Linked DNA regions of Macaca fascicularis. The main gene of each other region encodes a partner of the protein of the gene in region 4 in a complex. Links are inferred from orthologs where the notes say so. Each region holds a gene or a part of one and is shown on either strand. Other genes may lie near its edges.

Evidence for each region.
Region 1: CC2D2A (region 4) and TMEM17 share a complex: the UniProt entries of both Homo sapiens proteins name them as parts of the tectonic-like complex. The link is inferred for Macaca fascicularis from reciprocal best matches to the Homo sapiens genes CC2D2A and TMEM17.
Region 2: CC2D2A (region 4) and TMEM107 share a complex: the UniProt entries of both Homo sapiens proteins name them as parts of the tectonic-like complex. The link is inferred for Macaca fascicularis from reciprocal best matches to the Homo sapiens genes CC2D2A and TMEM107.
Region 3: CC2D2A (region 4) and AHI1 share a complex: the UniProt entries of both Homo sapiens proteins name them as parts of the tectonic-like complex. The link is inferred for Macaca fascicularis from reciprocal best matches to the Homo sapiens genes CC2D2A and AHI1.
Region 5: CC2D2A (region 4) and TCTN1 share a complex: the UniProt entries of both Homo sapiens proteins name them as parts of the tectonic-like complex. The link is inferred for Macaca fascicularis from reciprocal best matches to the Homo sapiens genes CC2D2A and TCTN1.
Region 6: CC2D2A (region 4) and TMEM67 share a complex: the UniProt entries of both Homo sapiens proteins name them as parts of the tectonic-like complex. The link is inferred for Macaca fascicularis from reciprocal best matches to the Homo sapiens genes CC2D2A and TMEM67.
Region 7: CC2D2A (region 4) and B9D1 share a complex: the UniProt entries of both Homo sapiens proteins name them as parts of the tectonic-like complex. The link is inferred for Macaca fascicularis from reciprocal best matches to the Homo sapiens genes CC2D2A and B9D1.

What each region holds. Positions count from the first base shown.
Region 1 is NC_088387.1:59,409,932-59,414,078, reverse strand, and holds the start of TMEM17 (transmembrane protein 17), read right to left. Parts: upstream 2,801-4,147; 5' UTR 2,694-2,800; coding exon 2,594-2,693; intron 1-2,593. UniProt on the Homo sapiens protein: Transmembrane component of the tectonic-like complex, a complex localized at the transition zone of primary cilia and acting as a barrier that prevents diffusion of transmembrane proteins between the cilia and plasma membranes.
Region 2 is NC_088390.1:8,261,417-8,265,526, forward strand, and holds TMEM107 (transmembrane protein 107), read right to left. Parts: upstream 2,801-4,110; 5' UTR 2,676-2,800; coding exon 2,589-2,675; intron 2,413-2,588; coding exon 2,345-2,412; intron 2,262-2,344; coding exon 2,143-2,261; intron 1,303-2,142; exon of another isoform or gene 1,204-1,302; intron 1,037-1,203; coding exon 940-1,036; intron 695-939; coding exon 625-694; 3' UTR 423-624; downstream 1-422. UniProt on the Homo sapiens protein: Plays a role in cilia formation and embryonic patterning. Requires for normal Sonic hedgehog (Shh) signaling in the neural tube and acts in combination with GLI2 and GLI3 to pattern ventral and intermediate neuronal cell types.
Region 3 is NC_088378.1:39,537,206-39,541,213, forward strand, and holds the start of AHI1 (jouberin), read right to left. Parts: upstream 2,801-4,008; 5' UTR 2,618-2,800; intron 2,285-2,617; 5' UTR 2,223-2,284; intron 747-2,222; 5' UTR 356-746; intron 1-355. UniProt on the Homo sapiens protein: Involved in vesicle trafficking and required for ciliogenesis, formation of primary non-motile cilium, and recruitment of RAB8A to the basal body of primary cilium.
Region 4 is NC_088379.1:14,692,461-14,695,960, reverse strand, and holds part of CC2D2A (coiled-coil and C2 domain-containing protein 2A), read right to left. Parts: intron 2,177-3,500; coding exon 2,020-2,176; intron 1,197-2,019; coding exon 958-1,196; intron 1-957. UniProt on the Homo sapiens protein: Component of the tectonic-like complex, a complex localized at the transition zone of primary cilia and acting as a barrier that prevents diffusion of transmembrane proteins between the cilia and plasma membranes.
Region 5 is NC_088385.1:117,523,226-117,526,725, forward strand, and holds part of TCTN1 (tectonic-1), read left to right. Parts: intron 1-2,638; coding exon 2,639-2,773; intron 2,774-3,278; coding exon 3,279-3,404; intron 3,405-3,500. UniProt on the Homo sapiens protein: Component of the tectonic-like complex, a complex localized at the transition zone of primary cilia and acting as a barrier that prevents diffusion of transmembrane proteins between the cilia and plasma membranes.
Region 6 is NC_088382.1:103,443,512-103,447,011, forward strand, and holds part of TMEM67 (meckelin), read left to right. Parts: intron 1-824; coding exon 825-923; intron 924-3,008; coding exon 3,009-3,107; intron 3,108-3,470; coding exon 3,471-3,500. UniProt on the Homo sapiens protein: Required for ciliary structure and function. Part of the tectonic-like complex which is required for tissue-specific ciliogenesis and may regulate ciliary membrane composition.
Region 7 is NC_088390.1:19,104,799-19,108,763, reverse strand, and holds the start of B9D1 (B9 domain-containing protein 1), read left to right. Parts: upstream 1-1,165; 5' UTR 1,166-1,204; coding exon 1,205-1,267; intron 1,268-3,426; coding exon 3,427-3,495; intron 3,496-3,965. UniProt on the Homo sapiens protein: Component of the tectonic-like complex, a complex localized at the transition zone of primary cilia and acting as a barrier that prevents diffusion of transmembrane proteins between the cilia and plasma membranes.

The DNA.
Region 1 (4,147 bases), on a different chromosome or scaffold from region 4:
ACAGATCACGGGCTTCAGAGTTCAAGCAAACCCAAGCTCCCCAAACCTCTGTGACCCTGGATGTCAGACTTTATATAAATTATTTAAGTTCTTTGAGCTTCTATTTCTTCATCTGTAAAATAGTGAAATTAAAACTTCCTTACAGGCTGCTTGTGAGAATTAGAGCCAATATGAATTATTTCTTCCTAGCACTGTGCTGGGCACACTTAGTAGGCACTCAACAAATATTAGTCCCCTTTCCTTCTTCTCTTCTATTTATCTACTTATCTGCAAGCACACACCATGTCCCACCCTAATTTGAGACCCTCATAGAATCTAGCATCTTGCTTTATATGCAGTGAATATCAAATACACATAAGAATGAATTAATGTAAGCATACTGTCATAAGGACATTACTAGTATAGCCATTTGTGATACATGAGTTCCATTTACCTAAGGTTGATTCCATAACACTTTTTGCTTTTATGTAAGACAGAAGGGTCCTAAATTAAGAATTTGATTTTTAAAATTGAACCCTACAAAATACATCCTAAATTTGACTAAATTCTTAAGAGCGGACACATATATTGAAATCAGTTGTTCTACACGTAAGATTTTAAAGGTCCTAAAATAAATGTCTTAAGAACATTATTTCTCCTTTTCTCCATAGTTGAGTGTTTTTATCTGTCATTTAATAATTTTAAAATATAAGAAACAGTCATGGTCTCTCGCAGCAAAATAGTTTCTTTTAGCTCCAAAAATATGCCTGATTATTATGATCTACTTTTGCTTGCAACTGCTTATTAAATTACCACTGATAAATGAATGAATTCTTAAAATCTGTTAAATCTGAAGACAACTCACCAGCCTAGGATCTTTCTGATAGCAACAGCACAATGCTGTGGACATGGTAATTACATAAATTTGTTATTACAGTACAAATAATCAAACCTACTTCTGATCCACAAAGAACAAAATACGGGAAAGAATAATAAATTGGGCAAGCAGAACATTTCAGTACCTTTGAGAAGAAACTGTAGTCAAATTTTGCAAAGAACGGTTTTTATGTTAGAAGTATTGTGTGTTAACATCTTAAAGGTTATGCTATGTCCATATTTCAGCAGATCAAACTTATAATCATGGAAATGAAAATCAAATTAATATGTAAATGAACCTTAAAAGCATAAGATATACATTTACTGAATTTTGCAAAAGTTCAAGTTGAGTTCTATAAATGGAATTTAAATTAAAACATACAATATAAATCAGGGATAGGTAAACAACTGGTCAGCTGCCTAAACGTTTTTGTACAGTCAATGAGCTAAAAATGTTTTTTCACCTTTAAATGGTTAAAAAAGTAATATTTTTTTCATACGTGAAATCCATACGAAATACAAATTTCAATATCCTTAAAGTTTTATTGGAACACAGCCATGCCTATTCAATAACTATTGTCAGTGGCTGCCGTGGAGACCATATGGCCTACAAAGCCTAAAGTACTTACTATCTGGCCCTTTTCAGAAAACGTCTTTTTACCTTGTATTATCAGACGTTAGTGCTCATTAAGCCTCATCCTTGGAACCAGAAACGTGAAACCTAATTTTTTCACATTTTTCTCTGTACATCCTAAATCATAAAGGCCTACATTTGGGGAATAGGCAAGTGATCAAGACGACAAAATGCAGCTTTGGGGACTGCCTTTACTTTTCTGTCCCTTTTAAAAATTCTGTAAAACCAAGCAGTGGAAAAGATTTATATTTCCCAGCAGACTTGAATGATGGAAACCACACGGGTTTGGTTGACAGTGTGTTGTCTACCATCATGATGTAGGAGGAGGAACCTGTTCTGGAGGAAACTGTGTTATCACTTGTCATCAAGTTGAAGGATGCAGAGGCATTATGGTATTTTCTTACCTTATGGTAAGAGTTACATATAGGGGAGGAGGAGGAGAAGGCAGGGAAGGGGTGAGTTTTGTTGAACGTCCGGCTAGTATGGCACATGCCAGTTGGGAGTGGATGGTGGTTTGAAAGGACTCTTAAAAAAAAAATTTTTTCCCCCTAATCTTTTCTGCCAGAAAATGGCCTTGCTTAGGAACATACTTGTTCTGCTAGGAAAAGGGAAAAGGCAAATTTGCTCCCTGGGCGGCGGGTGGGGACAGGGGAGGTGGGGATTGCTTGGGCTGTTCCTCGCCATCCTGGACAGAAAAGCCGGGGCGGGCGCCGCAGAGGAAAAGCAAGTTGGGCCTTCGCTCTCGCGGTGCGCGGGGGACTAGCCTGTGCAGCAAGGGCGGCTTTTATCTTTTTATTTTTGGGGTTTCCCAGGAGCCATGATGGGCCTTGCGTGGCACAGAGGTCGGCCCCACCTCAGCTGCCGGGCTTGCACGGAGCAGGCCAGGCGTTAGCGCGTGCAGACCAGGCCCAGCCCGCGGCCGGAGGCCGCCAGCGCCTCAGCTCCCCGCCCCGGCCGGCCCCTCCTCCAAGGCTCTGGCCCGCACTGCGGGAAACTGACTGAAGGCGACATCGCCATTTTAGGTACGGGCAAATTCTGGACGCTCCAAAACCCACGCCAAGCCCTCAGCAGGCCACACCCCCTGCGCCGGCCTCGGTCACTCACCGGGACCCTCACTGTACTCCGGACCGGTCCGATTGGAATCAGTGAACACAGCCCGGCTGAAGTTTCCCAGCCGCTGGCGCACCGGATCCGGCAGCTCCATGCCTGGGCCTCGGTATCCCTCGCCCCCTCAGATACAGGCTAGTCTGCGGGCGTTCCGAGGCTCCGTGGTTCTCATGGCAACCGGCCGGCGCGAGGCCGGCGAGATCCGGGAGCGCGCGGGGGTGCCCGGCTGGGCCGGGTCTCGTCGGGAGCCCGCGCAACCTTGAAGGGACCGGCGTACTCAGAGCGCGTTCCAGGCCCCGGGAGCTGCGTGCCTCGGCCGTGTCCAAAACGGCAGATCTCTTAGTTCTGCTTTGAGCCCGACCATCCTAAAAACAAACCTATACTAAGAAATGAGCTGGGGTTGGACTGCGATACAAGGAGCCCTCATATCTTGCCAGTGAAACTGTAAATCGGTACAACCTTTCTGGAGGGAAATAGAGAATGAATGCAGAGCTTAAAGAATGTCTAGAGGTGTAGGGGTATGTGTGAGAGAGAGATACTATGACTGATTATTTTTTAATAAGAAAATAGAGCAATGGGCAACTGATTAAATGTACTGGAGCATATGCATTCAATGGAGTATGTTTCAGCTGCTTATAAAATGCTTGCAAAGAATATTGAATGATATAGTTTATGTAAAAATAAAGCAGAAATAAAACTAAATGAGAATAAACCTAATTTAGCAAAATTTATGTGTATGAGTGGAGGGGAGGAGAGAGCATGTGCACACCGACTTCAAAAAAAACTGGAAAAAAATATTAACAGTTATCACTGGATAGTGGGATTGTAGGTGATTCAAAAATTTTTAAACACTTCTGTATTTTCTAGCTTTCTCTCTAAGATATATTACTTAATATATCAGCACCCTGTTCAAGAAACGTTACAATATTCCCAGAAACTCCCCCTTCCTATTTCCTTTCAGTCACTAAACCCCCTCCTCACTCATAACTGACCTTTCCTGAATTCTAACAGCAAAGGAGAGTTTTGCCTTTTTTTTTTTTTTTAAATCGGAACATTTATTGTGTGACTAATCCAAATATATATATATTTTTTATTCGAGACAGAGTCTTGCTCTGTCGCCCAGGCTGGAGTGCAATGGCACAATCTCGGCTCACTGCAACCTCCGCCTCCCGGGTTCAAGCGATTCTTCTGCCTCAGCCTACCGAGTAGCTGGGATTACAGGCGCCCGCCACCACACTCGGTTAATTATTGTGTTTTTAGTAGAGACAGGGTTTCGCCACGTTTGCCAGGCTGGTCTTGAACTCCTGCTGCAACAGCTGTCCTCTTGGGTTTAGGTGGTGTTCCTTCAGAAAAGCCATGCCTTAACCTGCTGTACACAATTTTTAGGTGCCTCATTCGACCAGTCTCGTTGGTATTTTGTTTTTTAGCCTCGGCACTCCAATTATACTTTGTCTTGGCTTGGGAGCCGAGCCACATTTGCCACAGGCAAACTTTTCAAGGAGGTAGATCTTAGAGTCACAAGGCAGCACTAGCTGTGCATCTTATTGCACC
Region 2 (4,110 bases), on a different chromosome or scaffold from region 4:
CCTGACGATATTTCTAAAGAGCCGACATTCCGCACTCAGTCAAAAAGATTCCGTTTACAGCTAGGGTGAGTTCACGACGCGTTGGTATGAGTAACCCTACTACTTAGCATCCTTCCAGTTGTATTGCCATATTTGCTTGCACATTTTTAAAAGAATTTTTTCATTCGGCTGCCGAAAAGGAATACATTTCTTTTTCCCAGAATGCTCCGATCATTTACGTGCTGGACGTTCTAACTGTAAGCACTTTCTATTTACATATCTCCGCCCACTCCCTTCCGCCAGACAACTACCGTAATAACCAAAATAGAAGCGATACCAAGTATCTTACGGTCTGCAGAACTAGAAAATAACGTTGCTTCTTTTTTTTTCTTCAGTAGTTTCGCCATCTCAATTGTGCCTTGAAAACTGTATATGTCTTAATCTTACTACAAAACATATTTTATTACAAACCACTAAATACAATGCGGATAATCCCAGACTCAAGACGTAATTATTCCAACACATATCCTCCAGCAGAAGCAGTTTCCGAGGGGAGGACCGAAGCCTATGCCTTCCTTCTTCCAGGAATACGAAGCGGCCCTTGCCCCTGTAGCCTTCGTCCTTAGGTTCCCGTCATGAAGGTGCTCAGAAAGGTTTCTTTTTCAGCCCAAAGACGGTGACGAATAAAGTCATTTCAGTGACAGCTGGAAGGGCACTACCGAGGCAAGTGGTAAATTCAGAAACCCTTTCAATATAAATACCCAAATCTCCAAACCAGAGACCCCACCCCTGAAAGTGTAGGACAGGTGGCATGGGGTAGGGAATGAAAATTCAAAAGACTACAGGATGTTAAGTGGATCTGGTATCTCACACATAGAGGAAAGGGCTGGGTGGGGGAAAAACCCTCAGGTTTAGGGTCAGCCTTCCTCCCTCATTCCCGAATATTGGATGCTACCACACCTGCAGAAGACAAAAATGTACCAATACGTAGTGCACTCCCAACGCTCGAATATGAAGAAGGACAGGGCCACGGATGCACTACAGTGAGCCCCAATGGCTTGGGAAGGCACCAGAGTTAAGGAAAGTCTTTGGATCGACAGATAGTGAGGGGTCAGAAAAGGCCAAAGGCCAGTGGTGGGGTTGGCATCTGCATTCAGGTTCATCGTTTGCTCCCTCACCATATTGCAAGGGCTAGAGTCAGCATCCCCGACTTCTGAATTTTAGGACAGTCATGTGAGGAGAGACCAGAAGTGACTGCGCAGATGGGATCTCAGGCTACCCTACTCCATATCTAGGGGCCAGCCTGGATCCTTCAGATGAGAGGTAAGAGTAGGCTCTCCTGCTATGCCACACAGGAGTGCTGACAGCGACTTGATATGCGCTGGAATCAGCCTCCAGTGTCCTGGTCCTCCTGGTCCACAATTCTCTGACCCATGTGCCTGGCTTCCGTTGCCTCTTCTGAGTTCCCAATGTGCTTTATATCTTTCGTTTTTTGCCAGAGTCTTGCTCTGTCGCCCAGGCTGGAGTGCAGTGGCACGATCTCAGCTCACTGCAACCTCTGCCTCCTGGGTTCAAGCAATTCTCCTTCCTCAGCCTCCTGAGTAGCTGGGATTACAGGAGTGCACCGCCACGCCCGACTAATTTCTGTATTTTTAGTACAGACAGGGTTTCACTATGTTGGTCAGGCTGGTCTTGAACTCCTGACCTCAGGTGATCCACCTGCCTCGGTCTCCCAAAGTGCTGGCATTACAGGCATGAGCCATCGCACCCTGCCTGTGCTATCTTTACACACTCCCATAGCACACTGCTTATCACACTGAATTACAGATGTGTATCTACCTCCTCCTCATGGTTAAAAAAAAAAAAAGTGGAGTTTTTATTATTACTATTTATTTTGTAGACACGGGGTCTAACTATGTTGCCTCCTGCGCGGGCCTCCCACAGTGCTGGGATTACAGACGTGAGCCAACGTGCCTGGCCAAAAACTGTATTTTACTCTCATTTCGGAATTTTAAGTGCCTAGTAAACAGCAGGATTTAGCACATGGTTGAAGATCTTTGAACTGGAGAGACTGGCTACAGCAGACACTATTGTGTCAGGTGGCTGAAGGGAGTCCTGATAGAAATGGGTCGTGTGGGAAAGGTGGGCAGGCAGAAAGGATACAGATGAGGCTCTGGGTGCTGTTGAACATGGAGACTCCTGAGAGGAAACCGGCCAGCTCCACTGCAAAGAGGCCCAGGGTGACAGAAAGCGCGGCCACCAGCCTGCAGAGAGGAAGTGGACTGGCTCAGGCCTTTGGACTTCTTCTAAGACCCCTCCACTCCCACCACCTCTTCGTTCTGGCCACCCCGTCCTAAGAGCTCACTGAATGTCCTGCTTGTCATACTCCTCGGGGGTGAACCTGAGAGGCAGGCAGGCCTGAATGTTGCTGTCCTGGGAGCAGGGCAGAGAGGAAGAGAAGTGAAAAAGGGGCAGGCTGCTGGGCAGGCCTAGGGACGGCGGAACACGAGAAAACCCAAGTGGGTAAGACACTGGGAGAGGGGCAGGGTGGGGCGGGGACGACTCCGAGATGGGAATGGGGGCGGACGGAGGGCAGCCGTGGGTCTTACCCGGGACCAGAATAAGGTGATGACGACCACCAGATGCGCCAGGATCGTCAGGAAGCGAGAGGGCACAAGCCCTGAGACCCGGCCCATGGCCCTTGGGAACAAGAGCGGCGGTCTCTGAGGCTGGAAGTTCAGAGACTGCGACTCCCGCAAGTCCACCAGCAAGCGGACAAATCTAGACGAACTCCTCCTTTCCGCCAGCTCAGGCACCGCCCAGTTGCCTTGGTAACCGCGTACGCGGGCGTGCTGCCGCGTTCTCGGAAAACCTCGCGAGAGCAGTACATTCTCCATCTGCTGTGGGTCTTTCAGGGCTAACTCAGGTCAGGGGTACCCGAAGGAGCTTCTAACCCAATGGCTGGGTACCCGTGCGCAGCCAGGCCCTTTGTTTCTCAGAGGGTGAGGGGTGGCACAGCCGCGCAGCGCCCGATCTGCCCACGCAGGGCCGACGAACGGAAACCCACCCTGGCCTAGCCTGGGGACACCTCTGCTTCCGCGGTTGCCCACGCCGGGAGCGGCCCCCAGCCCCAGCTACGCTGCCCAGTTGTGGATCACTTGAGATCACTCCCACCGCCACGCCGGGCTGAGGTCCCCGCCATGCCGAAGACTCACACCCGCTCCCCTTCCTCCTCTCCTCATGCCTTTAACTTCCCACCAAGCTGGGCCTGAGAAACAAGGGACCCGAACGTGGAGAGGCCGGTGTTCCTGGACTGCTCGGCAGTTACAGATTGTCACAGAGCCCCTGGTTGTCTGAGGACCCTAGGCCTGAACCTTCCTTGAGGAAGACTGATTTCTCTCAGACTACTTTGCTCAGTTTGGTGAAGGATTTGCAGAGTGCAAAAAGTGGTCCGCGTCCTTAAACTAGCGTGGGAATAAGAGCAAAGCAAGGTGGCTGGAAAGGTGGGAGTGGACGAAGGGAATGGTACAGTCCCTGCGTCTCTGGGAGGCTTGGAGCCTACGGGAAGGGAAACTCAACTTAGATTTCTTTATCTCTTGGAGGTGCTGGACCTCCGACATTGCCCAGCTACAGTCCAGGAAGCTCTTATCACCGGCGACGTCATGACCTTTGGGCCTCAGCGCAGGTCCCTGCAGATCTGAAAGTTCTTCTCTAATTGCTCAGTCAAGTCCCATCCTCAAGGAAACTCCCGGCCCATTTCCCAGGAGAACAATATCTTCCTACTTCCCACTCGACGTCTCAGTGCCTTTAGCCAGACTAAAGTACAAGCCCAAGAGGCATTTCTCATTCCTTCAACAAATATTTTTATATATTTATTTATTACCTAGTAATAGTATTCTAGTCAGGGAGATCAACAACAGACATGCAAACAAATAAATCCGTAAGATAATAGGTGCTACAAACAGGGATACGCGGGCCAGGCACAGTGGCTCACGCCTGTAATCCCAGCGCTTTGGGAGGCCCAGGAGGGCGGATCATCTGAGGTCAGGAGTTCGAGACAAGCCTGACCAACATGCTGAAACCCCATCTCCACTAAAAATACAAAATTAGCCGGATGTGGTGGCGCGTGCC
Region 3 (4,008 bases), on a different chromosome or scaffold from region 4:
GTTTATGGAGGGGCAGAAACCTAGCAGGCTGGGGCTGAGGGGTGAATGGAAGGTGACCCCTGTAGAAGGGACATGTAGACAATTCTTTACAGAATTCTTCCAACTGTCTTTCCACCACCCCTAAAGGCAGTGACATGAGACAGTAACTCTGGGACAAAAACACTGTGGAAGGATTATGCTGTTTGTTTTAAGATTGTTTCCATGCCACTATCACCTTACCCTTTTAAAAAATAAATCATCATCTATACAGCAATCAGTGTAATTTTCTAAAATTCAAATGTGACGGTGTCATTTCTTTGCTTAAAATTCTTCCCTAGCTCCCAATCACACACTGAAAAAAATATCAAGTCCTTACCATTGAGGTCCAAGGCCATTTATGAAATGTCCCCTTCACACCATACGCTGTGTTCCAGCCATGTGAAACTACCTCCAGGCCTTCACATGTGCCACGTCCTCTCTTGCTTTTGTATCATTACACATATATCCCCTCTCCTGAAAAATGTCCTTCCTCCTTTGTCACTCTAACAAACTCCTCATTATCCTTTGAAGGCAAGTATCTTCTCTAGAGAGCATTCGCACCTTGAAGGGCAGTGAAGCACTTCTCTTCTGTGCTCCCAGGATGCCTGAATCTTTGTAACTCCCTCTACCTCAGCCCTGAATTTTCATCCTGGTTAAATGTTCTGTCTCCCACCAAACTGCTAGCTTTGGAGGCCACGCCAATGCTCTCTATAGTTATGTATCTGGCACTATGAAAGAAAAGAGGAGAGAGAAGAGAAAACACGAGAAGCAAAGCAAAGCGAAGCAGTAGCAACGGTCCTAGAGTAAAAAAGACTCAGGTTTGACCTCCAGTGTCACCACTTACTGATGTGTGGCATTGGGTAAGCTACTTAATTTCTAATCCTTGGTTTTTCCTTGTCTGGGAATTTAAAATGGCACCTGTTTTAGTACTGCAAGGAGAAAATACCAAAAAGCAAAGTAATGAGTACACTGCAATAAAATTACTTTATGTCCAGTATTATTGTATTAAAAATAAGTAATTATTAATAAAATACAGAAATCATAGAATTATTTACTGTTAATAGCTTAATACACAACTGAATAAATACTAATATTATTTAATAACACAGCAAATACATTATAGAAATAATCTCTAATTTTTTTTTTTTTTGGAGACAAAGTCTTGCTCTGTTGCCCAGGTTGGAGTGCAGTGGCACAATCTCAGCTCACTGCTGCCTCCGCCTCCTGGGTTCAAGCAATTCCCCTGCCTCAACCTCCCTAGCAGCTGGGACTACAGGTGTGCGCCACCACGCCCGGCTAATTGTTGTATTTTTAGTAGAGATGGGTTTTCACCAACATTAGCCAGGCGGATACTGAACTCCTGACCTCAAGTGATCCACCCACTCTTGATCCTCCCAAAGTGCTAGGATTACAGGCCTGATCCACTGTGCCCAGCCATCTCTAAATCTTAATGTGTACTACAGCAAACATATGATAGAATTAATGACTAATATTTAATTAGTAACATTATCTGCGAAAATTCAGGTCGGACTTTAAAAGACACCTCCGAATCTTATATATTCCATTATTTTACAACTTCTCCCTCACAAACCCTTTCACAGGAGCTTCTAAGAGATACTATGTAGGAAAATTAAATGGATTACACCTCATCTCATTTTATTTTACAGACCACCTGATTATCAGCCAATATGTGACTCAATATCAATGGGAGAAAAAATTGAGAGGCTTGATAATTCCCTCTTTAACCAAATGTTATCGCAAGGGAAAAAAAGACAAACAAAAATCCTGTACACAAAATTCAATGAATAGATCAACAAGATTCTTCATAAGTACACAAGATTCTAACTTCATAAATATTATTCTTCATAAACAAGATTCTAAGTATGGTTTAATAACACTTTTGGTATTTTAATTTTTTCAAGCATTCTTTAAAAAATTTCCCAGAGTACTCATAAGAAGCAATCTTCCTCCTAACCCAAGCAATAACAGTAACTGCTAATGCAACAGGTGAAAAAACTGTTGGCATCTCTTTCTCAAAAGGGAAAAACTTTATTTTCACATTAGATGTTTTCACAGGAATGCCAAACGCAGCACAACCTTTGATAAGGATGCTTAAATGGTCTACATTTTTATTCTATTTTTATGCATCTCGAAACAACCCTATTAATATAATCTGGCTCTTATAAGTTTAACAAATTGATCACCTTTTCTCAGACGTAATTAAGTAGGCTTTGACAGGTTGAAGATTCAGCCCCAGGATGACACTCTAAAAGGAAATAAACACACTCAGTACGCATCTGATTTAAAAGCATTTAAACAAGAATCGGGAGTAGGAAAGGCAAAGATTGAATTCCCTATCAGAACACCATGCTCAACTCTCCGGAGACACCGAGACCAGTGAAAGAAGCGGAAAAGTACGTTGAGGACTCCGGGAAATCGCATTCCTCCGGGACACCCGGCCCACGCTCCCCGGTCAATCCGCGATCAGCCCCCGCGCTCTCGGACTCCAGCAGCCCCGACACGCCGCCCCGGAGAGGGCCGGGCAGGCCCAGCACCCCGGCCCGCGCTCCCGCCACCAGCGAACCCACGAGGTACTTACGGAGAGGAGGAGTAGGCAGAACCGTCCGTCCCGCCCAAGCCGACACCCGGAACAGTGCAAATCGACTCCCCCGCGCCCAGCGGCGCGGGCGCTAAGTGAGGCGGCCACGAAGCCACCTTACCCGCCAGCGACCCGGGTTCGGAGAGCAAGCCACTGCTCTGTGCCGCAGTGCGGACGACTCGCGGCCTGCTGACGTCAGCGCCTGCCTACACCGCCGTTCCCATGGCGACCGACGCGTCTCGCGCGCTAGGCCCGGACCGCGGCCCCGCCCCCGCCCCCGTCCCCGCGCCGCCACCGCCTTCGCCTCAGCCCGGGAGAAGGGGCCGCGCGGCGCCTGCACCGGGGCCCTCAGGCTGTTGGTGGGCGCGCGCTTCGGGGACCTTACCGGCCTCCAGCCTCCGAGGCCGTGCGAGCGGGAAGGGAGTCGGAAATGCGCGGGTGCTCCCACAGAGCTTGAGTCTTCCCCGCCCTCACCTCCAAAAATACTCTTTCCGCCTTAGAATTGTAGCAAGCGCAGGGAAAAACTGACGGGGCAAAGGAAAACTGGGGAGGCTGTTATGGAAGTCGCCCAAAATAAGAAAATCAATGAATGAGGCAAAGAAACAGATTTGTCACTCCCCACGCGGTCGCGCCCACAAAAGAAAACATGATTTTAAAGCGTGGAAAATGAAGTTGTACTACAGACAAAATCTTAAGAAAAAATTATGCACGATTCCTTTAGAGCTATCTCCCTGTGTGTGGAAAACAAAAGTTAAAACGCCATACTTTTCTGTACCTAATGCTCCCTCCCACTTTTCTGATTTCTGCCGCAGGCGCCATCTTCAGCTCTGAGTCACCAGGGCTGGAAAAATACTAGTTGCGCTACTCGTGGACTCATGAATACACGCCATTTCCTGTACCTACAGCCACGCGCTGTAACCTGTTGCTTCGTTTGTACAGAGAGAGAGTTTACGGAGGCCAGCTTTTCCATTCTCACTGGCATTGCCACACCTTACAAACTATATCTCTATGCCATGTGCTTCCCTAAATCCTTTGAGGAAGCAACGAGAAAGATTACTAATCCGCTGTGTACCAAACTGAGCTGTTCAACTTTGCATTCTAAACCTACTCTCCTAGATTTCTATCTTGCTGTAAGCCACCACTATCTTGCTGTAATCTTGCACTATCAAGTGTCAAACACTTGCTCCCAGTGTTTTAGTAAGAACTGTAGAGTATCCTAAATGCATCTTATACCAAAGCATATTCATTCTCTCTTTTTAAATTCCTCAGGTGGGCGCTTTACCAGTCCTGTGACTCCAGTTTTGACTCTTAAAATTCCCCACACTGCTATCAGAATGTCCTGACTAAAAATGTAAATCGGATAATGGCTCTCTCTTGCTGAAAATTCTTGA
Region 4 (3,500 bases):
TGGCTAGTTTTTATTAACCTTTCTTAAACATATTTATTTCAACGTGAGGTATTAAAAATGTTTGGGGTATTTATTTATTCAATAGAGGCGAGGTCTCATTTTGTTCCCCAGGCTGGTCTCTAACTCCTGGCCTCAAGCGATCCTCCCACCTTGGCCTCTCAAAGTGCTGAAGTTATAGGCATGAGCCACCATGCCTGGCCTGAGTTTGTGTTTCTAACAAGTCCTCAGTGATGCTGATGCTGCTGATTCCAGGGCTATACTTTGAGAACCATGGCTATACAGTGAAGGAAAGAATAAATAGGAAATATAAAAATATTTTTATTATGTTATAATTTTAAAAAAGAAGATGAACTTATAAATGTATGTTTATGGATTTATTATATATACAAATGTATATAAATCAAGTGATGTTTCTCAAGTAAGAATGACTAGACATGTATTTTTATCAAATCTGGAGGGTATGCTTCAGATGGCCTGACTTAAATACAAGCTATAGGGCACACCCACAGTGTTTTGGGGGGTCTTCAAGGAGACAAGCTGAAATCAAGGAAGGGGCAAGGAGAGGCATCCATGCCTGTGCCAGAAAGGTGGGACATGCTACCAGTGGACTGAAGACTCATTGAGGTTACAGATAAGGGACTCAAATCAAAAGCCACACAGCCAGCCACTGTGAAGAGCAGGCAGAGATTTGCAACTGGGATGCTTCTCCTACAGGGAGCTTTCCAGCGCGCTCCTGAGTGGCCAGTGCACATGCATGAGGTAGGTGAATCAATGAAATCACCTAAAGTGGGCAAATGTCAGCAATTTCATGTGGTTCAACCTAATATTCATTCAGAGTTGATGATTCTCCTGATGCTAAAGTAGGTCGGTAAGTGTACACTCCCCATAGTGTGCATGTGCCCACATGAACATGTGTATCAGATGTCAGCCTCATTTATGGTCAGAGCATCCACTCACCTGGGGCACTGATCACTGGGTGTTACACTTCCCGCCAGGCTTAGCTCTGGAACCAGCGTGGGCTCCCAAGGCCTCCTCCTGCTCTGGGCTGCTCTCTCCCTCACCTCATGCTCTATCACTGCCCGATCAGTGGGCTCCGGAGGGGTGGGCTTCACAAGGTCCTCCTCAGGATGTGGCTCCTCAATCTCATCATCGGGATGATCTTCTGCTGCTTGTTCCCTTTTCTTCTTCTTGGCCCTCTGTTGGGTTTGAGGCAACATGACATCAAACAGGAATTTTGGAATTTCATTTAAGAGCACAGTCTTCAGAGCCAGATGGACCTGGATGCAAACCCCAGCCCCATTTCAAACAGATGTGTGTAATCAGGCAGGTCACTAAGCCACCTGACCTCTCTGTGCCTCAGTTTTTTCATCTACAGAATGGAGCCCAGGAAATATCTCCCAGGGCTGTTGAAATGAGACTGTTAAAATGCCTAAAAAGCATTTACCATATAGCCTAGTCCCTAGAAAGAGCTTAAAAAATGGTAAGTATTCATGTGATCATTAATTTTGGTTTTCAAGGCTAAGGACACATCTTGAAATATTAAAATAAGGCATGTAAGCACAATGAGCATTGCAGGTCCACCTGATCTGTTATTTGTTGCCCTTGGACTCAGTTTTGTAGGGTCATGTCCATAAAGTTATATAATTTTCTGAAGGAAACTCCAGAGCATCAATCCCTACATTTAATGGAATAATGCATGTAAGATACTCAGCACAGTGCTGGACACAAGCATTAGTGATTACTACATTATTACTTAAATAGTCACAGAGTGCTACCATAGCATTCTCTATGGACAAAGCTGGCTCTGGTATCAATCAACTGGGTGGCTTTTTAAGCAAATGCATTAGCCAGTCAGTTCATTCATCCTTTTATCCCTTAGCCAGGGGACAGGGGAAGAGACAGAGGGAGCCACAGGATACCCTAGTCTGCCAGTCTGGTTTCCCCACTCCTGTACTGGAGGCTGTCCTCCCAGACCCTTCCTGGCCAGCCCTATTCCAGGCTGAGTGTTTGTTTACACACTTGCGCTTTCCTCCAGGCCTTCCACTGGTGTAACGACGTTCTGTACTCTTCCATCTTCTGTGCGTACTCCTCCGTATGCTCTTCCAACAGTTCACTTATTTCAGCTTGAATTTCTGCTTCATATGCTTCTTCATCTGCTTTCTGGTCAACTTTTTCCCTTTAAAATAATTTGTAGTCCATTGGTTATTTCTGGAAATTAAGAGAGCAATAATAACAGCAAATACTTCTATTGAACTTGCCATGTGCCAGTTCCTCTTCTAAAAATATCACACATGTAAACTCACAATCCTGTAAGGCAGATGCTGTTATTATCCACCTCTTATACATGAGGTGACAGAGGCCCATAGAAGTTAAGTAAGTTGCCCAAGAACACACAGCTGGTGAGTGGAAGGGCTGAATATGAGCCCAACCCCCTGAACACTAAGCAGCCATGCCTCTCTGCGTTAAGTGATCTGTGTGGTGTGCTGACACGGGGCCTGTAAGTTCTCAACTGATAGTGGTGGAAATTTCATTAGTTATTTTATTACTTCTTCAGGTTTCTGAGGAACTGCTTCATTTTGTTGCTACTGAGTCCCTGAAACCACTTTAAGTTCTAGGGTACATGTGCACAACGTGCAGGTTTGTTACATATGTATACACGTGCCATGTTGGTTTGCTGCACCCATCAACTCGTCATTTACATTAGGTATTTCTCTTAATGCTATCCCTCCCTTAGCCCCTCACCTGCCGACAGCCCCTCACCTGCCGACAGCCCCTCACCTGCCGACAGGCCCCGGTGTGTGATGTTCCGCGCCCTGTGTCCAAGTGTTCTCATTGTTCAGTTCCCACCTATGAGTGAGAACATGTAGTGTTTGGTTTTCTGTCCTTGTGACAGTTTGCTGAGAACGATGGTGAAACTACTTTTTTGACTTTGGATGGAAGATTTGGGTTTTTCTTTGATGATTTTGCTTACACTCCACCAGGAGATCAGCCCAGTTCTGTTTCCCACGGTGTGTTCTGTAGGACATTAGTTCTGTGAGATGTCCCACCAGGAAAAGATATTGTGTCCGTATCAATGCTGGATTAAATAAGTGTGAAATGTTCCTTGCTGGTCATCTTTTCAGAGCCCTTAACATGTTGATGAACAGCATGGCTCTCCTGGTGGGCGGCGGCAAATGTGCAGTGACTGCATCCATCCCACCCAGCACTTTGGAGATGGTGCCGAATACTGACTGCACTATTTTCCCCAAAGCAGTTAAGCTTCGTAATCCATTTTACAAAAACCTAGACAAGTGCATAGAGCTGACAGATATTTGCTTATGGACACATGTTGCCTGGAGTTTAAGCAGTTTACAGTCCCCCAAGGCACAAGCTCTTACAGCTCTCTAGGATGACTACCAAATAAATCACTTTGGATGCACAGTGGTACCCAAAATTTATAAACATCGGGGGAATTTGGCCTCAAAATTATGTCCCATCTCTGATATACAGAAAACCATTCA
Region 5 (3,500 bases), on a different chromosome or scaffold from region 4:
TAGGGCTCGCAGGAATGCAGTGTGAAAGTCATGCAATGGGCTAGCTCTCACCTCCCTCCAATCCCTAGAGAGTGCTTGGATTCTACCACTTAAAACTGGAACTGTCTGTGGGGGCAGCAGCCCTATCAGCCTTGTTCATGATATATCGGTATTTCTAATGCAGCGTCCGGTATGTTCTGGGCACTCAGTGAGTTATGTTTTTAGTGATTAATGACTAGGAAGGAGGTGGGTCCAGTAAGTGTGGAAAGACCTATTATGAGGAATGTGATGGATGTTACTGGGAGGCTTGGAGCAGATGCCAGGCACCATTCTAAGTGCTGTACGTGTCCACCATCTTTGAATCCTCTTGGCTGTCCTAGGAGGTAGGTTCAGTTACTGTCACTCTCTGGCAGATGAGTTACAGGGAGATGAATGAGCTTGCCCACGGCTGCACAGCTGGGAAGTGGCAGAGCTGGGACAGGAATCTAGGCGGTCTGGCCCCAGGGACCTTATACTTTACCACCACACTGGGCCAGCTCTCTCTGTGAGCCCACATGACAGGCTACACACACCCAGTGGACTGGGACTTCCAGCTTAGGTCTGTGTGACACCAAAGGTTGTGCTCTAAAGGACGAGCATGTAAACTAATAGCAGGAATTTGTTTAAAATTTTCTTAAGCAGATTTTAAGGTTAGAGGATCAGGAGTATAGAAATTGGGTCTAATCTCCTCACTAAGTGAAGACTGTTATGATTGCCTGGAATCATTGACAGTATCTGTGAAGCCATCAGTAAATGATTCCAGGGTAGCCCTGTAGTTTCATTGAGTATGCTGGAGTTCTTTACCAGTGTGTGGTTTGGGAATGGTATGTGGTGAAAGAGGAATCAAGGAAATCAGCACGGCCCTACCGTTTCCTTCTCGTGACTGTTGAGTGAGCTGCTGAGATGAGGGCAGCTACTGCCATTGACACCAGGACTCTCCAAAGCTCATTGATATTGAATCCTTTGGTTTTTGCCAATTCCACGGACACACCATGGAAGTGGCTTCAGCAGAGGCTGGTATGGCAGGCTATGCTCTTTCTTGGAACCCGGTGTCATTGCTGAATCAGGGGCCACTGTGCTCAGAGTAAGGAACCCAGGTTGTCCTTATGTTAAACAAGAGCTAATTGAATCGCAGCCTAGGATCCCCTCCATGCTGAAACTCTTTGGTGCGGTGTGTTATGCAGAGGGCTTCGCAGTGACTGGCGTTGCACTTCTGCCATTCTCGTCACATGACAGCTCACAACCTTGTTACTGAGTCATGTCACTTTCTTCTGTGAGAGGTTTTGACTCGCAGGTCTTCTTGGTCATGGGGGCAGACACATAAGGACTGCTTATTTATCTCTAAAATGACTGCTTAAATACTTGGTCATTTTGAATTATAAACAGCATGGTGCATGATTAAGTTCAAAGTGGTATAAACAACTATTAATAGATACATGAGGCTCCTTCCTCAACAGTGGTTTCCAAGAATTGAAGTTTAGAGCAAATGACAGATTCATCCTATAGTGTGAGGAGGCCCAGCTACCTTTAGAGGATGGGTTGATGCCTTGCTAGTCTGCTGGCGGTGGCCATGAATGCAAAATGTCCTTTAATAGCACTGGGATAAGCAGGGCTTCCTGGTGTTGCTGAAAACGTTTGTCTGTGTCTGTTTTCTATTGCTCATAATCCTACCACCCAGAGAAACCACTGTGTGTGTGTGTGTGTTTATGTATGTGTGCACTTGCATTTGTGTAGAAGTTGTGTATAAATTGGGTCAAATGAATATTCGGGGGTGTGTGGGGGCTTAAGCATATGTATCCTGGGACTGTGTGTGAATGTGCATGTGTGGGTATGGAGTGTGTAGGAGTTGTGTTTTGGAGGTGAGGATATATATGTGCGCTTGACAGTGTGATGGAGTTTTGTGTGTATGTATTTGAGATATAATTCACATACCATAAAACTCACCATTTTAAAGTATACAATTCTGTGGCTTTTAGTATAGTCACAGGTTGTGCAACCATTACCACTAATTCCAGAACATTTCCATCACCCCAAAAAGGAGCCCTGTGTTAGCAGTCACTCCTCATTCTTCTCCAGCTCTGTCCCCCAGCCCCTGGCAACCACTGATCTAGTTTTCATCTCTATGGGTTTGCCAATTGGACATTCCGTATAAATGGAATTAGAAGTGTGGCCTTTCGTGTCTGGCTTTTATGACTTAGCATGTTTTCAAGATTCATCTGTACTGTGGCATGTATTAGTACTATTTTTAAGGATAAGTCATATTCCTTTGTAAGGCTAGACTTTGTATTTATCCATTTATCAGTTGATGGACATTTCGGTGGTTTTTGGTTTTAGCTATTATGATAGTGCAGCTGTGAACATTTGTGTACAAGTTTTTGTGTAAACTTTGTTATTAGAGGTAACTACTTTTAAAGTTTTGGTTATATCTTCAAGTATTTTCTTTGTGAATGTATATATGTTTATTACTTTTGCAAATGTGGATCATAGTATACACATGTTGTGTAGCATGCTTCCCCCTACTTGGCCATATATCAGGGGAGGTTTCTTTCCAGTTGGTTGTTATTTTAGCCCATCCTCCCTGGGTAGAGCATCTTCAACACTCCTGGTCTTCACTCTGCAGGTCCCTATCACTGTTCAGTCAGTCCTCATTCAGTCTCTAAATAAAACGCTCACCCGACGGGAAGACACTGATGTGCTACAGCCGGCTCTCGTCAATGCTGGACACTTTCACCTTTGCATGAATGTTGTTCTTGAGGTAGGTGCCGAATTTGGCTTTGAGAGCTTGTCTGTGGCAGACTTAAGCCTCCTGTCGCGCTGGGGTAACTGGATGCCGTCCGAGGACACTCTGTCCTAGCCTGTGGTGTGGCTTTACCTGGCTTGGCTGCCTGCTTGCCTTTCTGCTGTCTCATCAAAGGACACCTCTTGTCTCCACAAACCTAGTGACTTGCCGGAATACATCAAAATATTTTTGTTGTTGCTGTTTTTGTTTTAACATGTTTCCTCTGCAGAGATAGGCTTATTACATTCTGCTTGGACCAGCTTATGTGGAACTTCTGTAATTGGGCAGAGTGGCTCAGATGACCTTGTCTGCTAGGGGTGGTGCTGAGGGAACACCTCTCGTAATCCAACTGGACAGCAGAGCAAGGCTTTAACACATGGAGAAATGGGGAAAGATTTGCTATCTGTGGGTATTTTCAGTTATTCATACAGCTTCTGAAATGTAATGGAACAGGTATATTAGGAGTATCATTTTTTTTTAGGTAAAATACAGCCTCACATACACAGATAGAGGTGAAGTCACCAAAGCTGATCTGTCATTCCTTCTGGGGACAGTTAGCAGTGTAGTGGTCCCACTGCAGCAAAAGTTTGAAATTCATTTTCTTCAGGTAAGGTTGATCAATTTGGCATAAGTATTTAATTGCCAAGTTAAAAAGAAATAATGACTTCTTAGTGGATAAAACTGAATTTCTAAGTATTACATC
Region 6 (3,500 bases), on a different chromosome or scaffold from region 4:
GCCCAGCTAATTTTTGTATTTTTAGTAGAGATGGGGTTTCTCCATGTTGGTCATTCTGGTCTCAAATTCCCAACCTCAGGTGAGCCACCGCACCCAGCCGGCCCTCTTAATTTAATTTAATTTTATTTTAGATGGAGTCTCACTCTATTGCCCAGGCTGGAGTGCAGTGGTGTGATCTCGGCCCACTGCAACCTTCACCTTGCTGGTTTAAGCAATTCCCCTGCCTCAGCCTCCCTAGTAGCTGGGATTACAGGTGCATGCCACCACACCAGGCTAATTTTTTTGTATTTTTAGTAGTGACGGGGTTTCACCATGTTGGCCAGACTGGTCTTGAACTCCTGACCTTAGGCAATCCACCCGCCTCAGCCTCCCAAAATGCTGGGATTATAGGCGTGAGCCACCACACCCTGCCCTCTTATTTTATTGAATAGCATCGATTGATGATTCTTACCTGCAGAAAGTTTCACTGTGATATTTGCCTGATGGTGATTTTCTGTTTCCCTAATTACTTTTTTATTTATTTGGAACTTTACTATAAGGAGAAACTCTCCCTTTGCTCACATTATTTATTCAATTATTTATTTTTAAATCAGTGTGAACTCGTATTTATTTTATTCTAGTAATTATAATATGTTACTATTTGTTTTCTTGTTCAAATTGTCCCACATTTGGCCATTACAAGTTCCTCCAACTTGACTCCTGTGTCCTTTCAACATGTCCCACCCCACCATTTTTTTGAGCACTTCCTTACTTTCTGTTCACAGTGTTTTTGAACACCAATGAGAGAAATTACATAAATTCTCAATTGTTCTTTTGTTTTTTAGATTGCTTTGGGTGTATTGGGTGGGCTAGCTGTTTTAGCATCTCTTTTGAAGACAGCAGGATGGAAGAGGCGCATTGGGAGTCCCATGATTGACTTACAGGTATAATCTCAGCGGTTTTTAAATAATATTTTAATCTTTTGACTCTTCTGGATCCTTTTCATAAGACACAGCTAGAGGATAAGTAAAGAAGTTGCATTGAATTTTTCTGGGGTATGTAATTAGGATAAATATTGCTGGGTCATATGGTATATGCGTACCTCATTTTCTTCCCACCATACTGTATGCCAGTCTATATTCCTACCAGCAATGCTCTTCTTATTTCTGCACAAACTTGGCAACACTTGATATTTTTCCAGCCTTTCCAATTTTTGCCAATCTCATGGCATATAGTAGTATGTCACTGTTGATTTCATTTTCATTTCTCTGTACTCTTCATATACATTTTAATCATTCAGGTTTTTCCTTCTGTTAACTGCCTGTTTATATCCCTTGCCTACTTCTCTATTATGTTTCCAGTTTTTCTTGTTTATGTGAAGGATTTTTTTTATTTTCTAAATAGTAACCCCTTTTTGGTTTCTGATGTTGAAATATATGAACAAATAAATATGTGACCCATCTGTCATTTTTATCCATGTGGTCCTTTGTTTAACAGAAACTTTCAGGTTTGATTTTGTTTTTGTTTTTGTTTTTGTTTGTTTTTTTGAGACAGAGTCTCACTCTGTCACCAGGCTGGAGTGCAGAGGCACGATCTTGGTTCACTGCAACCTCCATCTCCCGGGTTCAAGTGATTCTCCTGCCTCAGTCTGCTGAGTAGCTGGGATTACAGGCATGCACTACCTTGCCTGGCTAATTTTTGTATTTTTAATAGAGACGGGGTTTCACCATGTTGGTCAGACTGGTCTTGAACTCCTAGCCTTATGATCCACCCACCTCGGCCTCCCAAAGTGCTGGATTACAGGCATGAGCCACTACGCCTGGCCAGAAACTTTTAGTTTTGATATCATCATATCTGAATATTTTTTCAGTGCTTTTAGGATCTTGTTTAGGAAAACCTTCCCTATATCAAGATCACAAAGATAGTCCACATTTTATTCTATTAACTTTATACTTTCACTTCATATTTAACCTTTTATTTTTATCAAACATTTAAAAAATATTTACCATGTACCAGGCACTTTTTAAAGCTTTATGTATGTAATTTTCTTAATCCTCACAGTAGCTCTTTGAAGTTAGGTTATTATCATTATTCGCATTTTACACATGATGAAATTGAGGCAAAGGTTAAATTTTCTACTCTCTTGATTTTTACAGCAACTCAGTAATAGACATTTCCATTTTGCTGATGAAGAACATGAGAAAGGTTACCGGGTAACTTTAACCAAAGTATCTTTCTGATTCCAAAGCCAGTGAGCTAAGGAATCAGCAGGGGGACTTGATTTACTACTTGGGATAGTCCAGAAAGGCTTCCCAGAGAAGTGAACTTTAAGTGGGATTATCTCTTCATTCTACAGTAGTCACTGAGGCTCTACTGTCTAAGTGTCTGGCACTCTGCCAGGAACTAGAGGATGTGATAGTGAGCAAAGACAGACATAGTCTGTGCTCTCAGAAATCATGAGAGCTTGCCAGAGAGAGGAAGAGAAGAATATTTGGTAAAACAATGCCCATTTTATTCCACAAAATATTCAAGATGAAAGTATGGAGTGGTTAGTCATTGACTAACTACATGACTAGAACTGGCAGATGAGGCTAAAAAGTTAATTTTGGCCCATATTGTGAAAGACCTTGTGGATCAGGAATTTATATTGCAGTGAGGAGTTGTTCATTTTTAACAAGGGAAGTGACACAATCCAATTCACATTTTAGAAAACTAACTCTGGTGTTAGTGTGGAGGAGAGATTAAAGGGGACTAAGAGAAAATTAGGAAGCAGTTCAATTTTCTTAGATAGTGAAAGATGAGAAGAGTTGAAAAAAGAGGCTACCAGGAATGGCCAGAAAGGTAAGGAACCAAAAGGTAGCAAGGAGGAGGAAGCAGATGGTCTTTATAGCCAGATCATATGTGGATATGTGAAACGAGGTTTCAGGCTTAAGAAACGTAGTGGATGATGTATAAAAGTGGTAATATTACTAAAAGTGGTTTATACATTGAGTCTTAAACAGCTGTTAATTCATTTTTTTTAATTGCAGACAGTTATGAAATTCTTGGTGTACTATGCTGGTGATCTGGCCAATGTTTTCTTTATCATCACAGTGGGAACAGGTCTTTACTGGCTTATTTTCTTCAAAGTGAGTGAGTTTCTGAATTTACCCCAACTGCCAATATCGGAATAATTGAAAAATTTTCTTTATAAAGGAACTATTTTTGTTTGGGAGAATTTTTGATCAACAGTATTAAGAAAAGTGCCCAACTCTCCATTCCTTGAGTGTGCTGAGCTTATCGATCACATCGCTATCTTCCTCTTTTATGCTTTCTTTGGTTTTTAAATTGTGCTTAAGAAAAACCTTGTTCAATTGGAAGACTTACGTGGGAGGATCCTGTGAGTCCAAAATCGAGTCCTGCCCGGGCAGCATACTGAGACCCTCCTTTCCCAAAAAAAAAAAAAAAAACACTTTGTGTGATTATATTTAATCAAGTAATTTTTATTATAGGCACAGAAGTCTGTCTCTGTTTTGCTACCA
Region 7 (3,965 bases), on a different chromosome or scaffold from region 4:
TTACTATGTGACAGGCCACGAAGATTCAAGACTGTATCTTGACAGATTTCGTGAATTCTAGCTAGCAACTCCCCTGAACGCTAGCTGATTGGAGTGCCAGGCGCCGCCCACTGCGGGCCTCAGTTTCCCCAGCTTCAAACTAAAGCGATGGCTTGGATGTAAGGATTCCTTTTTTTTTTTTTTCTTTTTTTGAGACGGAGCCTCGCTCTGTCGCCCAGGCTGGAGTGCAGTGGCGCAATCTCGGCTCACTGCAAGCTCCGTCTCCCGGGTTCACGCCATTCTCCTGTCTCAGCCTCTAGAGTAGCTGGGACTACAGGCGTGCACCACCACGCCTGGCTAAATTTTTTTGTATTTTTAGTAGAGACGGTGTTTCACCGTGTTAGCCAGGATGGTCTCGATCTCCTGACCTCGTGATCCGCCCGCCTCGGCCTCCCAAAGTGCTGGGATTACAGGCGTGAGCCACAGCGCCCCGCAGGATGTAAGGATTCTTGAGGTCCCTCCCAAGTTTGTTTAATAAACTTTTTCGAGGGCGAGGGTCTCCAAGCCACAAGAGCGCGTCCCTTTCACCTGCTTGGACGCTGCTTGGCCCCAGTTGGGGAGCCTGGTCCGAGCACCCGGCTTTCCAGCCTTAGCCGGGACAGCTGTGGTCACGCCGCCGCGCTCCGCAGCACCTCCCTCCGCGTCCTCGCGGTGGGGCCACAGCGACATCTAGTGGCTGAACGCATTTTAAACACTCGGCTTGCTGCGGGCGAGTCGGGGCGCTGCTCCCCAGGACTCAGCTCTCATTTGCCTCCGCGCTTCGGCGGGGAGGTGGAGACGGGCCGAGTCAGAGTGAACACACACTCCCTGAGGGTGCAATTGAGTAGAGCGGTAGGGCTGGCTTTACCCCACAGGTCAACGCTCCCGCCCCAGGTCTCGGTCATATCTGCCCCAGGAGGGGTGGAGCCTCGGTGTGGAGCCCCGCCCCCTTGTACCCCGCCCCGCAAAAGCCTCGCCCCCTTATGACGGCGCCTGCTCACTGCGCCTGCGCTTGCCACACACCGACACCCACACCCACACACACACACGCGCGTGGCCTTCGCGAAGGTGTCGCTGCCAAGAAACGTGTCCTGCGCGCTACGCCGTCTGTTTCTAGGGCAACGCCGGCGTCTCTTAGCAACCGCGCGCGGCCTAGGTGGGTCCCCCCGGAACCCCCAGCCCTGCCATGGCGACCGCGAGTCCTAGCGTCTTTCTACTCATGGTCAACGGGCAGGTGGAGAGCGCCCAGGTGAGCGGCCGTGGACCCCGCTGGGGCCCGTCCCCCAGCGTCCCCCGGGGCCCTTCCCGCAACCCCCCGGGTTGCCCCGTGGCCCCCGGAGAGCCACGTCATTCCTCTGAGCCTCTCGATTAGGCGGGGGAGGGGAGCCAGCATTGGAGGGCTTGGCGCGAGGCTGCCGGGATCCTGAGTCCCGATGGGCAGGAATAGAAGCAGACCTCGAGATGTTGAGCTAGTACGGAGGTCACACTCGGCCAAGCCTGTGGACCCTCGCACGGATCATGCCCACTTGGTTGGATCACTGGCAGGAGCCTCCCAGGGTGTAACGCGAGGAGCCTAGGCTTGGCTGAGTTTCCAGCATTTGTGCCGTGTCCGATGTGGAGCTACTGTCCTACGTTCTGAATCCCTAGATCCTTGGACTCGGGTTCGAATCCAACCATCCAACGATGGTGGTGGCCTGGAATAACCCAAGGAAGGTGTGCCTGCCAGGCCTGAGGGACGCTACTCTCCATCCCCCTACACTTTAGAGGAATCATTTATTGTAAATATAAACCAACGCTCACCAAGTCCTCAATATGTCCCAAAGTTGGTGCTCGGCACTGGTCCATCCTTACAATCTTGCCAGACAGTCACTACTAACACCCCCATTTTACAGCCGGGGAAACATACCAAAGGAACTATTCTATCTGGAAATTGAACCCACGCCTATCTGACCTCAAAGCTTCACTACACTGTCCTTCCAGGCTGTTGGAGGTGGTGTTTACTATTATTTTATTATATTATTGTGAGGATTGACTGAGACGGTTTGGGTAAGGCTCTGACAGGGCCTGATGCTTTGTAGGTGTCTCCTGCCTTCCTGTTTCATCAGGGATACTACTCCGTGCTCCCACCCTGTCCGCCTCTGCCTCAGCCTAGTGCCTAAGACCGTCTTTCCACACTCTCCTGTTCTATCCCATTAGGGGCTCTCGGCTGGGCTGAGTCACATGTGTCTGTGCTCTCAGCATCATTGACCCCCCACACACACACATACTCACAGTCACACTGTTCCTTCCTCCTCTGCTCTCAGCACCTCCCTCTCTTCGGGCCTCAGCTCCAGTCTTGCATATGATGGCTTCTCAGACCTTTCTATTCAGCACCATTCCCTTACACCAGTGGTCCTCAACCTTTTTGGCACCAATTGTTTCGTGGAAAACAATTTTTCCATGGACAGGAGGTGGCGAGGGATGGTTTTGGGATGATTTGGGGACGTTACATTTATTGTGCACTTTATTTCTATTATTATTACATTGTAAATAATAATGAAATAATTATACAACTCACCATAATGTAGAATCAGTGGGAGCCCTGAGCTTGCTTTCCTGCAACTAGATGGTCCCATCTGGGTGTGATGGGAGAGAGTGACAGATCATCATGCGTTAGATTCTCATAAGGAACATGCAACCTAGATCCCTCACATGTGCAGTTCACAGTAGGGTTCGCGCTCCTATGGGAATCTAATGCTGCCAGTGGTCTGATAAGGAGGTGGAGCTCCCATGGTCATGCGAGCAACGGGGAGCAGCTGTAAGTACAGATGAAGCTTTGCTTGCTCGCCTGCTGCTCGCCTCTTGCCCACCTCTTGCTGTGTGGGCCCGTTCCTAACAGGCCACGGACTGGTACCGGTTGGGGATCCCTGCCTTAGACCTTATCTGTGCCCAGCCCTGTGTCAGGCAGTGGGGACACAGAAAGGCATTAAATCTGTGCTCTGCTCATGGTCTAGAGGAACTGACAGACTTAGACACAGGCAATCATTGCTTTTATGGAGGGAAGCACAGGGCTAAGGGAGCCAAGAGGAGACCTTAAACCAGCCTGAGAGTTAGGGCAGGCTCCCTGAAGGGTAAGTTTTGAAGGGTGAGCAAGAGTTTCCCAGATGAAGAAGTAGGAAGGACAAATCAGACAGAAGGCAGAGCCTGAGCAAAAGCCAGGGGCTGTGGCACTTGGGAGTCTCCCATGGACTCCCGCATCTTGGTCCTCAGCCTCTCCTCTGAACGCCACGTGCACATCTCCAGCTGTCGCTTAGACCCACTCCCAGGTGTCTGACATTCAGAATTCCTCTTGGCTGCACCTGCCTAGCAAATGCGTTGGCCTTAGCATGAATACCACCAGTCGACAGAATCTGTCTGTGCTTTTTTCAGTTTCCAGAGTATGATGACCTCTACTGCAAGTACTGCTTTGTGTACGGCCAGGACTGGGCCCCCACAGCGGTAAGCTGGACTCTTGGGCCTCCCTTACTGCCTTCATGACCTTTGGGGTTTCTGAAGGTGTCATACCCTTCCCCTCCCGATTCAGAACCAGTTGAGAGGTAGACACTGAGTTCAGGGGAACCCAAACACGAGTGTTCCTGGTAAAGCAGGAGCAGAGGACATAGCCATGGTTGGACTCCCTGATCCAGCCACCAAGACTGCACTCACACGCCCTACCCTGTGAGCTTGCCTGGAGCAGCAAAGAGCAACGCCTGCAGCAGGAGGCAGGCCCCAGTAAGCCAGCCTGGCTGTGGCTGAGCTGTGGACACTGGCCAGTCTGCTCACCATTTGGCCCCTCCTCAGCCAGTGGGGAGGACCTGGAGTCAGAAGACAGAGTAGGAGCTTTCCTTCCAGGACTTTCCAAGGCGTAGCTCGCCTCCACCAGGTGAGGGACTATGGTGACGACTTCAGCCCACTGTGCACTCTGCTGT